Saccharomyces cerevisiae S288C: one gene and its partners. The protein of the gene in region 2 interacts with the protein of the main gene of each other region in a biochemical or structural test. Each region holds a gene or a part of one and is shown on either strand. Other genes may lie near its edges. The genes, in order: MRX16, RTK1 and YBL055C.

Evidence for each region.
Region 1: the proteins of RTK1 (region 2) and MRX16 form a complex in vitro, tested with the Saccharomyces cerevisiae proteins (one large-scale study listed by BioGRID).
Region 3: the proteins of RTK1 (region 2) and YBL055C form a complex in vitro, tested with the Saccharomyces cerevisiae proteins (one large-scale study listed by BioGRID).

The regions. Positions count from the first base shown.
Region 1 is NC_001136.10:718,237-722,330, forward strand, and holds MRX16 (Mrx16p), read right to left. Parts: upstream 2,068-4,094; coding exon 580-2,067; downstream 1-579. Other genes in the region: YDR131C (uncharacterized protein), read right to left, coding at 1-224.
Region 2 is NC_001136.10:404,763-409,193, forward strand, and holds RTK1 (putative serine/threonine protein kinase RTK1), read right to left. Parts: upstream 2,445-4,431; coding exon 582-2,444; downstream 1-581. Other genes in the region: MRX9 (Mrx9p), read right to left, coding at 1-195; putative acid phosphatase DIA3, read right to left, coding at 3,689-4,431. UniProt on the Saccharomyces cerevisiae protein: Probable serine/threonine-protein kinase that may be involved in ribosome biogenesis.
Region 3 is NC_001134.8:114,924-118,427, reverse strand, and holds YBL055C (3'-5'-exodeoxyribonuclease), read left to right. Parts: upstream 1-1,598; coding exon 1,599-2,855; downstream 2,856-3,504. Other genes in the region: TOD6 (Tod6p), read right to left, coding at 1-839; type 2C protein phosphatase PTC3, read right to left, coding at 3,260-3,504. UniProt on the Saccharomyces cerevisiae protein: Has both endo- and exonuclease activities. Incises double-stranded DNA without obvious specificity via its endonuclease activity and excises the DNA from the 3'-to 5'-end by its exonuclease activity. May have a role in apoptosis.

The DNA of each region.
Region 1 (4,094 bases), 310 kb from region 2:
TCATCTATGTAGTGAAAGTTTAGGACAGACCAATAACAGGTTCCAAATGAGTTATCATAGTCACCATTGATGTGATAGGTTTCATTAAGAAATAAATTCTGGTAGATGAAAGGTATAATTGATTCATAGGATCTTTTGCATACATATGTTAACGAAATTTTATCTTCCTGCGGAATTCTCCAGGCAATTTGTTTAAAAATCTCATAAGGTAACTTATCAAACATTTTTCGGGCCCTTTCAAATTGGCAGTAGGGTTATTTTTATCTATTTTAAGACACCAAAGTTTCTTCTTTTTGCACACATTATCCTACTATTTTCTCTACGTTACTTTATCTCTGGTTTTAAGAGGTGTCTGTATCCTAATTCCCGAAGTCGATTTTTTTCTTACATATTAACTGATAAATAACAAGAGAAAAGAGACAAGAGCCTACAAAAAGTAAGAAAAGAAGCTACTACAGGAATGTGAGTTACAATGGGTTTCCGTTATACTTCAAGTACTATAATGGCATATAAAAAATACAACGGAGAGCATACATATACTTAAAAGCTTGGCAGAAGAGTAATTTTATCAAGCTAATCCTACAGATATTCATATCCCTTGTAGTATTCCTTAGTTCCGTTAAATGCTATAGCTTTAATAGCTATCAGCATAATATTGCCATCTTTCACGGCCAGTTTCCAGAGAGACTTTCTTAAGTAAAGCTTTAAACCAGAACAAAATCTAAGGTCAAGTGGATCAGACACGTCAATGACCCTGTCATTGAATTTATTTTTATCAGTTAGCAAAGTTTGAACTTGAGAAATCTTAATGCCGTTTATGTCCAAATCACAGAGATATATGCATGCTGGAAGTAAATAATGAGTTTCAATTTTCGTCTGCGTACTATCGGATGGGAACCGATACTGGTAATTTTTCAACTTAGGCGCACCAGAGGGTGTATTTGGCAAATGACTTCCAAATAAGGCCTCAAACTTATAGGCGGATTCTCCAGTTATGTCTACATGGATACTTTGGCTTTCCTTATTGAGGATTATCGTACAATCAGTCGAATTTATTTGAAATATCAACTCTCTCGGATGCTTATCTAAAAAAGGTCTCTTATAACAAAGCATATTCCAGGAATCGTTATATTTTTCAGTCATGTCAAGTTTAATCTTTTTATTTGCTGGCTGTTCACGGGTTTTTGATAGCGAGTCGCATTCATTTATGCTACAGAAATCGTCTTCAAAGTAGGGCGAGGTTGAAAATGCAGAAGAAGCTGGAAAAGTGATGCCTTTTTTTGACAAATCCTTCAATAGGAGGCAAATCTCTTCTTTCCTTGTTATTGGGTTATAGCTAATATGAGATTTGATTAGCCGCTGTTCGAGATTTAAAAGCCTGTAATAACGGCACTCTTTTATCAAGGCATTTCTTTTATTATCATCTAGATCGATGGATGCTCCTCCCAGTAACGTCAGCAAATCTTTGAAGTACTCAGAAGATCTTGGAATGTAAGGAGCAGAATGAGATGGAGGCCTTAATAGTTTTTTAGATATTATCAGCTCTTCCACATCGATATAAACTGTAGCCGCATATATTTCGAAATAATTTGGGGAATCTCCTTCTCTTCTAAATAAATTTTTCGCTATCTTGAATGATTGTCCACCAATGTTGGTAAAATAATAGTCCGTTTCTTTCAGTAAAGATCGCAATCGCGGTAAATTGTAGTACATCGCATCTGCGAAAAGCATGGTATATTGTACTTCATCCTTAATCTCAATTATATATCCTTGCAAATGTTGATAGATCCATTCAAAAACTTCGGCTGATCTGTCTATGAATAGAACCTCATTTTTATTAGATTCCATGGTATCGTTATTACTGTCATCGTTATTGGAAGGAGAGCGCTTCTTAGAAAAATATTCGGTGAAGAAACTAGGACCATCCGAGCTTAAAGAAGCACCGCTGATTTTGAATAATGATTTCCCCACCTGAATCTTATACATTTTCTCGTGTGGGAGTATTTGAGGAATATTCGGATCGAAATATTCTTGTGACAAAGTTGCTACTGTTGGAGAATTTGACATTTTCTATATGATTATATTGGGAACTTTCTTTGTTGGTAATATTTACGAGTGCCACAGACCGGTCTTTAATTCGCTATCTTTCGTTAGATTATGGTATATAACATTCACACATAAGATATACATTTTTTTCACTGCTCAGACTATTCAATTTTATTCGAGAGGAGAATCCATTAGAATTTTGACTTAGTAAGCAATTGCGGCTTACATGATTTTCCAAGAAGTTCAGTCGCCCGTGCAACAAAGACAAAAGCAAGCTAAGAAAAATGCCAGCTCAGTGGTCCGGATAAAATCTTAAAAGGATACGTTTGTAAAAGAAGCAATGATAAGCCGGCCAGATCGTAATAATGAATCACTAATATAAAACTATTATATTTCAGAAAAGAGGAAACCGAGATAGACTCATCGTCCGCTTATTATGTAAGATATTGAATCCATGTTCTTGATTAGCGTAAACCGACTGGGCAAACAAAAAAACATTATTTTTGAATTAACGAACCTTAAACAACCTATATTAAGATATATGATAAAAATACAATGCAACCAGTATATATAAAAAAAGTTTAGTTGCGTGTAACCTAAGAGATATTAACTTTATATTAATATTATTATAATAAACATTTAGTTATGGAGTGTTGCCTCCTAGAATTAGAATAAGAAATTACCAGAATATCTTATTAATTGAAATAAAACGATTTTGTGGAAGCTGTATTGACGGAAAAGTACTTAACCATTTTTCTAAAAATATATTAAAGAAAAGGTTGAGTAAATTACAACAATAAAGCGGCAGCACCAGCCAACAAAGCACCGGCAGCTGGCAAAGCCTTAACAGCGGCACCAGTGTAGGAGGTAACAGTTTGAGTGCTAGAACCTTGTTGGGTTGGCTTTTCAGTTGGCTTTTCGGTTGGCTTTTCAGTTGGAGCTGGAGAAGTGGTATTCTTTGGTGCTTCAGTGGTTGGCAATGGACACCAGGTGGTGTATTAAGTGATAACGTCATTTACGGTGACGGTAGCAGTGGAAACCAAAGCTGGGGAAACTGTTTCAGAACAAACGTGGTCCTCACAAGAAGTGATAGTGACCAAAGTGGTAGATTCTTCTGTGACAGTAGCAGTGGTAATGTTAGAAGCGGCGGAGGCAACAGCGGCAATAGCAGCGATAGAAGCGACGGTAGAGAATTGCATTTTTAATTTGTAGTTATTTTGAAGCGAACGAAAGAAGATGTTTGTTATCCTTGGTTTTTTATTCTATGAAAAAATTTTAAAAAAGAGAGTCTAGCAGAGAGAAGTCGATGAAGAACAACCACGATCCAGCAACGGTTTATATACTTCGAGAGATGACTAAACCATCCTATATGTTGTGGAAAGTGTACACAAAAAAATTGCAAAAAAAATAGTTAGAAAAAGAAAAGTGAGATAAGTACAAGGAAAAAAAAATAACAAACACCAGAAAAATTCCTGCGCGGTTTCTGTGAAGGGGCCGTTGATTCACCCTCTGCACTGGTCCCTGAAAGGGACTACCGACCATACGCGTAGCCCCTTTTCTCACTGGAAACCATCCGAACGCCGATGGAACACGCGTCTAAAAGTGAGCACGGACCGGACTCGCGGATTTAAAAGGGCTTCCCCACTGCAGCGTGTCCTGCAGCTCAAACCCAGCCATCAATTCGAAATAGGAAAACTCCTTCCTTTTTGAGCGATCGTGTTGTAGCAGCACTTCAAAACGGATGACTTTCTCCGCACTGAAACGCATGGGCAGTCCGGCAAGAGAAAACACCGCGTCGAAGCACGGTTATTCATGTTGGAGCAGTTCGCACCATGCTATTGTTTTGAAATGGCTGCCAAAAATATTCATGTTGCACGTTTCAATGCTTGACAGAAAGGCAATATGGCGGAGAACCAGTGTGAGTTGACCCCAACAAATGAAAAAAAAAAATATAATAAAAATAAAAATAAAAAAACAAACAAAAAGTAAGTCTCCTTCAAGGACAACTGAATAGGAAGTTTGAGCCGGTTTCCTATGCCTATAGCCTT
Region 2 (4,431 bases):
ACGAAACTGGAAACTTTCTCCTCGATATTTTGGAATTGCGGGAGATGTAATCGCCGAAGGCACTGGTTTAGGAAAAGCCCTTAATATTCCTGGCAAGTACATATTGAAACCCTTTCCATTATTGAGACTATTGAGCGTAACGCTGTTCATAAGCTCCCTTGTCCTACTGGCTAATCCCACTGGAACTTTGAACATTTTTTCCTACTCATATGTGGTTATGGTGGTCTTATTTATCTGCGCTAAATCACTTTTCAATTATTCTTTGCAGTTTATAGGGGAGGAGACTTCCTCTTTGTAAAATCTAATAGGGCGTGTTCACAATTTTATGCGTCGGGTGACTTCAATTTGGCGCCCGTTGAGATTATCTAAAAAATGCTTTTATTTATTTAAGCGCTTTTTGTTTTGACGAATGTATTTATGTTTTTGTATATATATGAGCGTTTTTTTTTTCCAGATTTAACTAGTTTTCTTTTTCACCTGTATGCACACCATCTTTTATTCCTATATAATGCCTTTTATAGTACTTTGAATCTTCTATATACAATTTTTTAGGTTTTATCTTTTAAAAAGTGTTTATTTCATTAATTTGAATCTTTATTCCCGTGTTGCTTGGTCAGCTCATTCAACTCCTCCTCAGTGACCAAGTGATGCTTATGATTCTTTGGTTTTTCAACCAAATCGCCAGATGTAGGGTCAACTTCACAGGAGGGGACGGATACAAGCCAATCATCCTTTACCACGTCATTCATTAAAACTCTTTGCTTTGGTTCTAAAGCCAACATTCTGCCTATTATTGTCCGTGAATGTCTTGGCAGTAGCCTTAATATTTTATTTGGCCCCCGAACTATATCATCTTCGTCCTCAGGTTCCTCAGTAAATAACCTAAATGAGTTGAAGCTCTTTTTTGGAGCCTTCCAAGGAAATCTTTTAAGGACCATACAGTAAAATATAATAGCGATAGACCACACATCTGCTACTCTTGGATCGTAGGATGTTTGTTTCAATAACTCAGGAGCCAAATAAGGGTCAGAACCCACGATTCCATGTGATTTTACAATGGTATCTTCGTAAGGGTATTGGAACACTACAGCGCTCCCAAAGTCAATCAGTTTCAAGATGCCATCTTTAGTGACGACACAATTGTCCAATTTTAAATCCCTATGAGCTAAGCCCATAGAGTGCAGGTAATTAACGCCGTGGCACAGCTGCTTGAAGTAACAGTTGACTTCATCTTGTGTCATTAGGTTACTCATGACGAGATTAAAAAAATCATATGGCGCATACTCCATTACTAATAAATAGGTGTCACCTTCAGTCAACATATCTAGGGTTTCAACGATATTTTCGTGGTGCAGCGTGGAACCAATACAAAATTCAGTGGTAACCTTCTTAGAATAATTAGCTAATTGAGACTGATTAGTTCCTTCATTGTTTAAGTGTGGTTTTCTGAACATTTTGCAAGCAAATAACTTGCCGTCTGTTCTTTCTACTACGGACACTGAACCGGAAGCTCCTTCGCCTAATTTTCTACCAGGAATACCATATTTTTCTAATAGCTCCACTGGGTTATCTGTTTCGTATAACGCTTTTCCGTTACTTTCTACTATATTTTCATTGGTGTTCAAATTGAGCTTCGGTTTTGTAGGGGTGGATCCACGGTTGTGATGGTGGTGATGATGATGGTTATCGTGATAATCATTATGAATTTTTTTGAAAAATCTTGTTAATCTCAAGGATTTTTTCTTTCTTGATGAGGTATCATCACTACCGCTTGAAGAATTATGCTGTAGTTCCACGGACCCAGGGGTGGAGGCTTGAGAGTCCATGAAGTGTTTGTCTTCAATCTGTTTCTGTAGTATCTCTACGGGATGCATATGTGCCTGGTATGATAAATTCGAAGAGGGTGTATCAGATTTTGCAGAAGACACTGTAGAAATGTTGCTATGAGCTGTAGAGCGAACGGGGTGAGGATGGTGGAAAGCATCTTTTGAGCCTTGATGAATGTAGTTTATTGGATTGTGAATACTATGGGGTAAGTGGGGCACAGTGTGTCCCGTACGAACGGGATTATGATTGTTAGGTAAGGGCCGTGAAGGAGAGTAGTCAATAGGAGCTTTTTTAGCTGAAGTAGGAGAAATACCTGTCAAAGTAGAACTTGCTACTACGTGTGACTCCTTTGACAACGCGCCATTTCCCTGGGGGCTCTTTCCTATGGTAGATCTTCGGTCGTTGGGTTTGTTATACTTTATTTGATCCTCTTGGTCAGAATCTGTATTCTTTTTTGAAGATCTAGAAGAAGACCTTGAAACATCATCTGTCTTTGAGTATGATTGGTTACCACCTCCATTGAATATTTTAGCCGATAAATTCTTCAACTTAGTTGGCCTAAATAATGAAGACAGCGAAGTTGATGAAGATGAGTGTAATGGAGTTTCCTTAACCATTATGCTATGAATTTCAGGCTGCTCTTTTCTGTCCTTCTCTCTTTTTTTCCCTCTCAAATCCTCTCAGCTTATTAGCGCACTAAAGAGTCAGTTTGGGTGAATAGCGTAATCAACTTATGGAAAAGAAGAACACTAGAATCCGTCACTATTGGCTGCAAATAAGTATTATATCTTTTTTCAATGAGAAATCTTGCTTGCCCCATAACAGGTACAATACTTAGCAAGCCAGGAAGAGTCACACTGCAAAATAGATATATGAGAAGCGGAAGTAGCTTTTCCCCTTATAGATGTACGCCGTTCGATATTACCCGAACTGCAAGAAAAGCTTCTCCAAATATCTACTGGCCTCCATTCAAGAAGGCAATTAAAGAGACTATGTGTACATGAATGGGAACTTGGTATGATGGTAGTAATGCTTTATTAGTCATTCCCCTACCCCCTTGCGCAACCTATCATTTTACTTGCCAGATGTGCTCTCCACTGTTAGAGCCTCTTCGCTGACAAAGAATGGACGAGTACGCGAGCGGTGAAACGAGCACTGCAGGCAAGAGAAAGAAAAATCATGCATGATTTGGAAAGCGAATAAGAAATGACGCAGTTGAGTGTTTGAGTTGGAGCCAGCTGTGTTATTCACAGGTTCATTTCGAGAAAATAAACGCCTTTGGTGGAAGCGGACACTATATTTCACATTTTAGCTGTAGAAGTAAAAAATTTATTTCAAGTTTACTTAATCCATTCAAGCAGTGCTTTCCCGGAGTTTCGAATAAAAGACACTGAGGACTTTTCAGTTTGAATTTGAGATATGTTGTGGAAGTTTCCCAATACCAGAACCGCCTTTGAAATCCGGAAGTTTTCTTTTATGTTCTTGTGAATTTTCTATCCGAGTTTTAACTTTCGATATTCAGAAAGAATAGCCGTTCATCTCTTTTATATTATATTTAGCGATGTAATGAAAGTAAAAAAACAAAAAAAAAAAACAACAATAATCAAATGACGCATATCTAAATATTCCAGAAAAGAATATAAATAACGAGGGTGATAAAGCGGGTGCAATTAAATTCTCTGTAGTACAAAAATATGTAATAACCGCAGAACTTGTTAGTGGAATCTCTTTTAGATGTAGCTTGAAGGCTCAATTCGCTCCCCTTCGGTTTGCTGAAGGAAGAACGATGCGGAATATTACTTTGTGACCATGTTATGTAAAGACAATTTCCTATTTTTTTTTATTTCTGCCCATGCATGGCTTATTGATTCACTAAGGATGCGTTATACCTTGTTGTGTTCCAATCCCAGTAAAACGTCAATTCCTTTTCTTTGCTAACTTTGGAGACGTCGCAATCTTCATAGAAGCTCACACCTCGTAATCTGTCTTTGGCATACTCGTAAAATGTGCCCTCTTCACATGAAAAACCTGGACCACTGGAGCAACTCTCTATAGGAACCACAGCATCGTTGACCACATAACGGACGTACGAATCGTTTGAGCATTGAAACTTTTCTGTGTAGACTCTAGCTCCCTGAGGAATGTACCACGACCTGTGGTAGGAATGATCACGAAAGGGAACATGATTGGTTGTTAAATTTCTAGTGTCATCAATCAATCCAGCAGTTGTCAAATAATTTAGAATATCAGTATCGTGCGTAAAGCTCAGCCAAACTTTTTGGTCCAAGTGCGCACTTTGTCGTATTAGCTTCACTGTTGCATTGAACAAATTAGCACCTATAGATTTAATCAATTTGTATCCGGGACCATTTTGGTAGAAGCTCGTCAAATCAGTCTCATAAGAATAATGTATTAACTCTGCCGCGGAGAAAATGTCACAAATGTTACTATAACCTTTTGCGTTCAACTCGAAGGCACACCAAGAAAACAAGGCCGCTGCATCTTTCCTGCTCAAGTTCAGCCCTTTATTTTCGTCATTAAGACGATCGGAAATATTTTCTAAGTAGTCCCTCGAATATGACATTAATATATCATTGTTGGCAT
Region 3 (3,504 bases), on a different chromosome or scaffold from region 2:
GAGTTCCTTCTAGACCTGATAATAATTTTAGGCACAAGACCAATATTCTCATAATCATTGGAATTAACAGCTTTATTTGTCTTTGCTGAAGTAGTGTTATAAAGGCTTAGATTTGTCTGCTGAGCAGTCTTTACATTAGGCGTGTTGGTTGTTATAGAATGAGAGAAGGACCTTGGCTTAACAAACAGTTTCCTTGGTTTCGTGTGTTGTGGCTCATGGTCCGAAAATGTTGATGTAGATCTTTGAGTTATCAGTTTTCTGTCCATGTATTTAGGCTTAACTAATGGCTTGAAATCCGGTGGAGAATCCTCGATAGCACTAGAACCTGCAGTAATATCTTCATCCTCAACAGCTTCCTCTTTTACGGCTTCTTCCGCAGACGGAGTACCCGCGGATGGGGTAGCATCACCAGTCGCATACACGCCGAATAGCTTATTGATGTCAATAACTGCGGTCTTGTTAGACTTTAAGTTGCCTGATTTCAGTCTCCTCCATCTGAATTGACAAGCGTTAGGAGTTCTATTTGGGAAATGATGTGCAATCTCCTTCCAGCCCAAGTTCTTGATCTCTTTCAGGTGGCGGAGCTTGATATCATCACTAGGGTCCCAAGAAGAGGGGTTGTTTTTTTTGAGTGATTCCGCCTCCTCCTTGTTCGTGCTGTTCTCTTTAGTGCTAGTGCTACTGATAGGCAGGTGGCTCTTCGCATTTGTGTGAGAAAGTGAGTGGGAATGGACAAGATTATTTGGGTGAGGGTGTTTGCTTAGTATTGAGAAACCATGTGAGTTGGCACTAACATGTCCTGATGAAACAGAAACGCTACTGAGTTTCGGCAACGTCATCGCGAGGGAACTTCAATAAGAACAGTGATATATTCTTTTCTCTACCCACTGTCGTGTATATGCCTTCTTGAGTGAGTAGTTTTAATGACTCAAGCAGTGGAGATTTGCCAGATTTGTTTACCTGAAAACAAAATGATATGAAAAGCCTTTATTAATATCAACGTACAAAAACTATACACGACTTCTGTGTAAGGAAGTAGAAAAGTGTCTCATCGCATTGGTCTCGCATCTCATCGCATCGCATCTCATCTCAATTTTCAAATTTCAGCTCTCAGCAGAGAAAAAATTTTTTTTTCACCGGACCAAAAATAGCCTCTCTCACCCACAGATAACGTCGCACACTAACAAGATGATGAGACAAGATAGGCCAAACCGCTCAAAAAGGAACTCGAAGAAGAACGGAAGTGGAGTTTAACTTTAGAACCTAACTGCTACTAAGTGTTGATACGCTAGGCAAGACACCTGCGAAATCCCGCTGCGAAATACCTGCAAAGAGGTTGCTAAACAGCAGCCAGAAGACTTGCGCTAGTAACGTTCCTGAAAAGCTTTGCACTGCAGGCATTTCTGAGCCTTTTCCGGCCTTCTAGAAGGCTTAGCCCCTACTAACGCCGGGTTACTTAGAACAGCACTCTTCTAAGAACAATCTTTCCAGCATGCTGGAAGGGCCCAGTGGTGATGTCCTGGTAGCAATGGACAACTAAAGGTGGACACTTTCGCTGCCAAGGCATTTTTTTGAGGCGCCAGTACTGTTATAGTTATATGTGGGGCATCTTATTGAAATCCTCGAACAAAAGTTGTTCTAGGCTCTGGAAACCAATTTTGACACAATATTATAGCATGACATCAACTGCCACGGATTCTCCGCTGAAATACTATGATATTGGATTGAATCTGACAGATCCTATGTTTCACGGTATTTACAATGGTAAGCAGTACCATCCAGCAGATTATGTAAAATTATTAGAGCGTGCTGCTCAGAGGCACGTGAAAAATGCCCTTGTTACAGGATCATCCATAGCGGAGTCTCAAAGTGCCATTGAGTTGGTAAGCAGCGTCAAAGATCTTAGCCCGTTAAAGCTGTATCACACAATAGGTGTTCACCCATGTTGCGTTAACGAGTTTGCGGATGCTAGTCAAGGGGACAAGGCTAGCGCTTCTATTGATAACCCTTCCATGGATGAAGCATATAATGAGTCTCTATATGCTAAAGTTATTAGTAATCCATCTTTTGCACAGGGTAAACTGAAAGAGCTTTATGATTTGATGAATCAGCAAGCAAAACCTCATGATACAAGTTTCAGGTCAATTGGTGAGATCGGGTTGGACTACGACAGATTTCACTATAGTTCTAAAGAGATGCAAAAGGTTTTTTTTGAAGAGCAACTGAAAATAAGTTGTTTGAACGATAAACTCAGCAGCTATCCATTGTTTCTGCATATGAGAAGCGCATGTGACGATTTTGTTCAAATATTGGAAAGATTTATTGCCGGGTTCACTGATGAGAGGGATACCTTTCAGCTACAAAAGTTAGGTGCATCGTCGTCTAGCGGGTTTTACAAATTTCATCCAGATAGAAAACTAGTGGTCCATTCATTCACTGGTTCTGCGATAGATTTGCAGAAATTACTGAACTTATCACCCAACATCTTCATAGGAGTAAACGGTTGCTCGTTGAGAACCGAGGAAAATCTAGCTGTTGTAAAGCAAATACCAACAGAAAGGTTGTTATTAGAGACAGATGCTCCGTGGTGTGAGATTAAAAGAACGCATGCATCTTTCCAGTACTTAGCCAAATACCAGGAGGTTAGGGATTTCGAATACCCTGCATTCAAGTCCGTTAAGAAAAATAAGCTCGCTGACAAGTTGAATGCAGAAGAACTTTACATGGTCAAGGGCCGTAATGAGCCTTGTAATATGGAACAAGTAGCAATTGTCGTATCGGAAGTCAAGGACGTGGATCTGGCTACTTTGATAGATACCACGTGGAAGACGACCTGTAAGATATTTGGAGAGTAACATCTATTGGTGCAAAGAGCAAAGTTACATTATTTTTAGTAAGTACACTAATTATGCTTAAACTATTAATAGGAAAATTATGGTGCGCATATACATACAGTCGATATTGCTTTCATTTTTTTTTTTTTTTTTTTTCTATTTTTTTCATCAAAAAGGATTCAAAGGTTACCAACAAAATAAAAACAGAGTAAGGAAAAACAGATGTATCTATATGAATAGGATTTATAAATTCTGTTACAATTTATCATTCTCTCGTAATGATTTTTATGAATTTCACCATCTCCTCAATATGGGCCGCAAAGATGATCCAGTAAAAAACAATCCATCGGCAGAAGAGGAATAACAAATAAAGATAACAAAGTTTGACTACTCTTTCGTTGCAAAGTACGGTTCGACAATATTTATTATTCAATTTCTTCAATCTTGGAACCCTTCTTCGCATTTTCATTCTTGCCGTTTTCTTCGCCGTCGTTATCATCGTTATCATCAGCATCATTAGGTTCTGTTTCTCCTGCAGCCGCATTGCTTAAAGATGCCAACATATCTGATAAAGAAGCACCATGGAAATAAGAAGTGTTGCCGTCACTGTCGGAGCTGGGCCTCTGCCTTATTTGAATCCCGGCTTCTAATAGAGCCTCCAACGAAAACA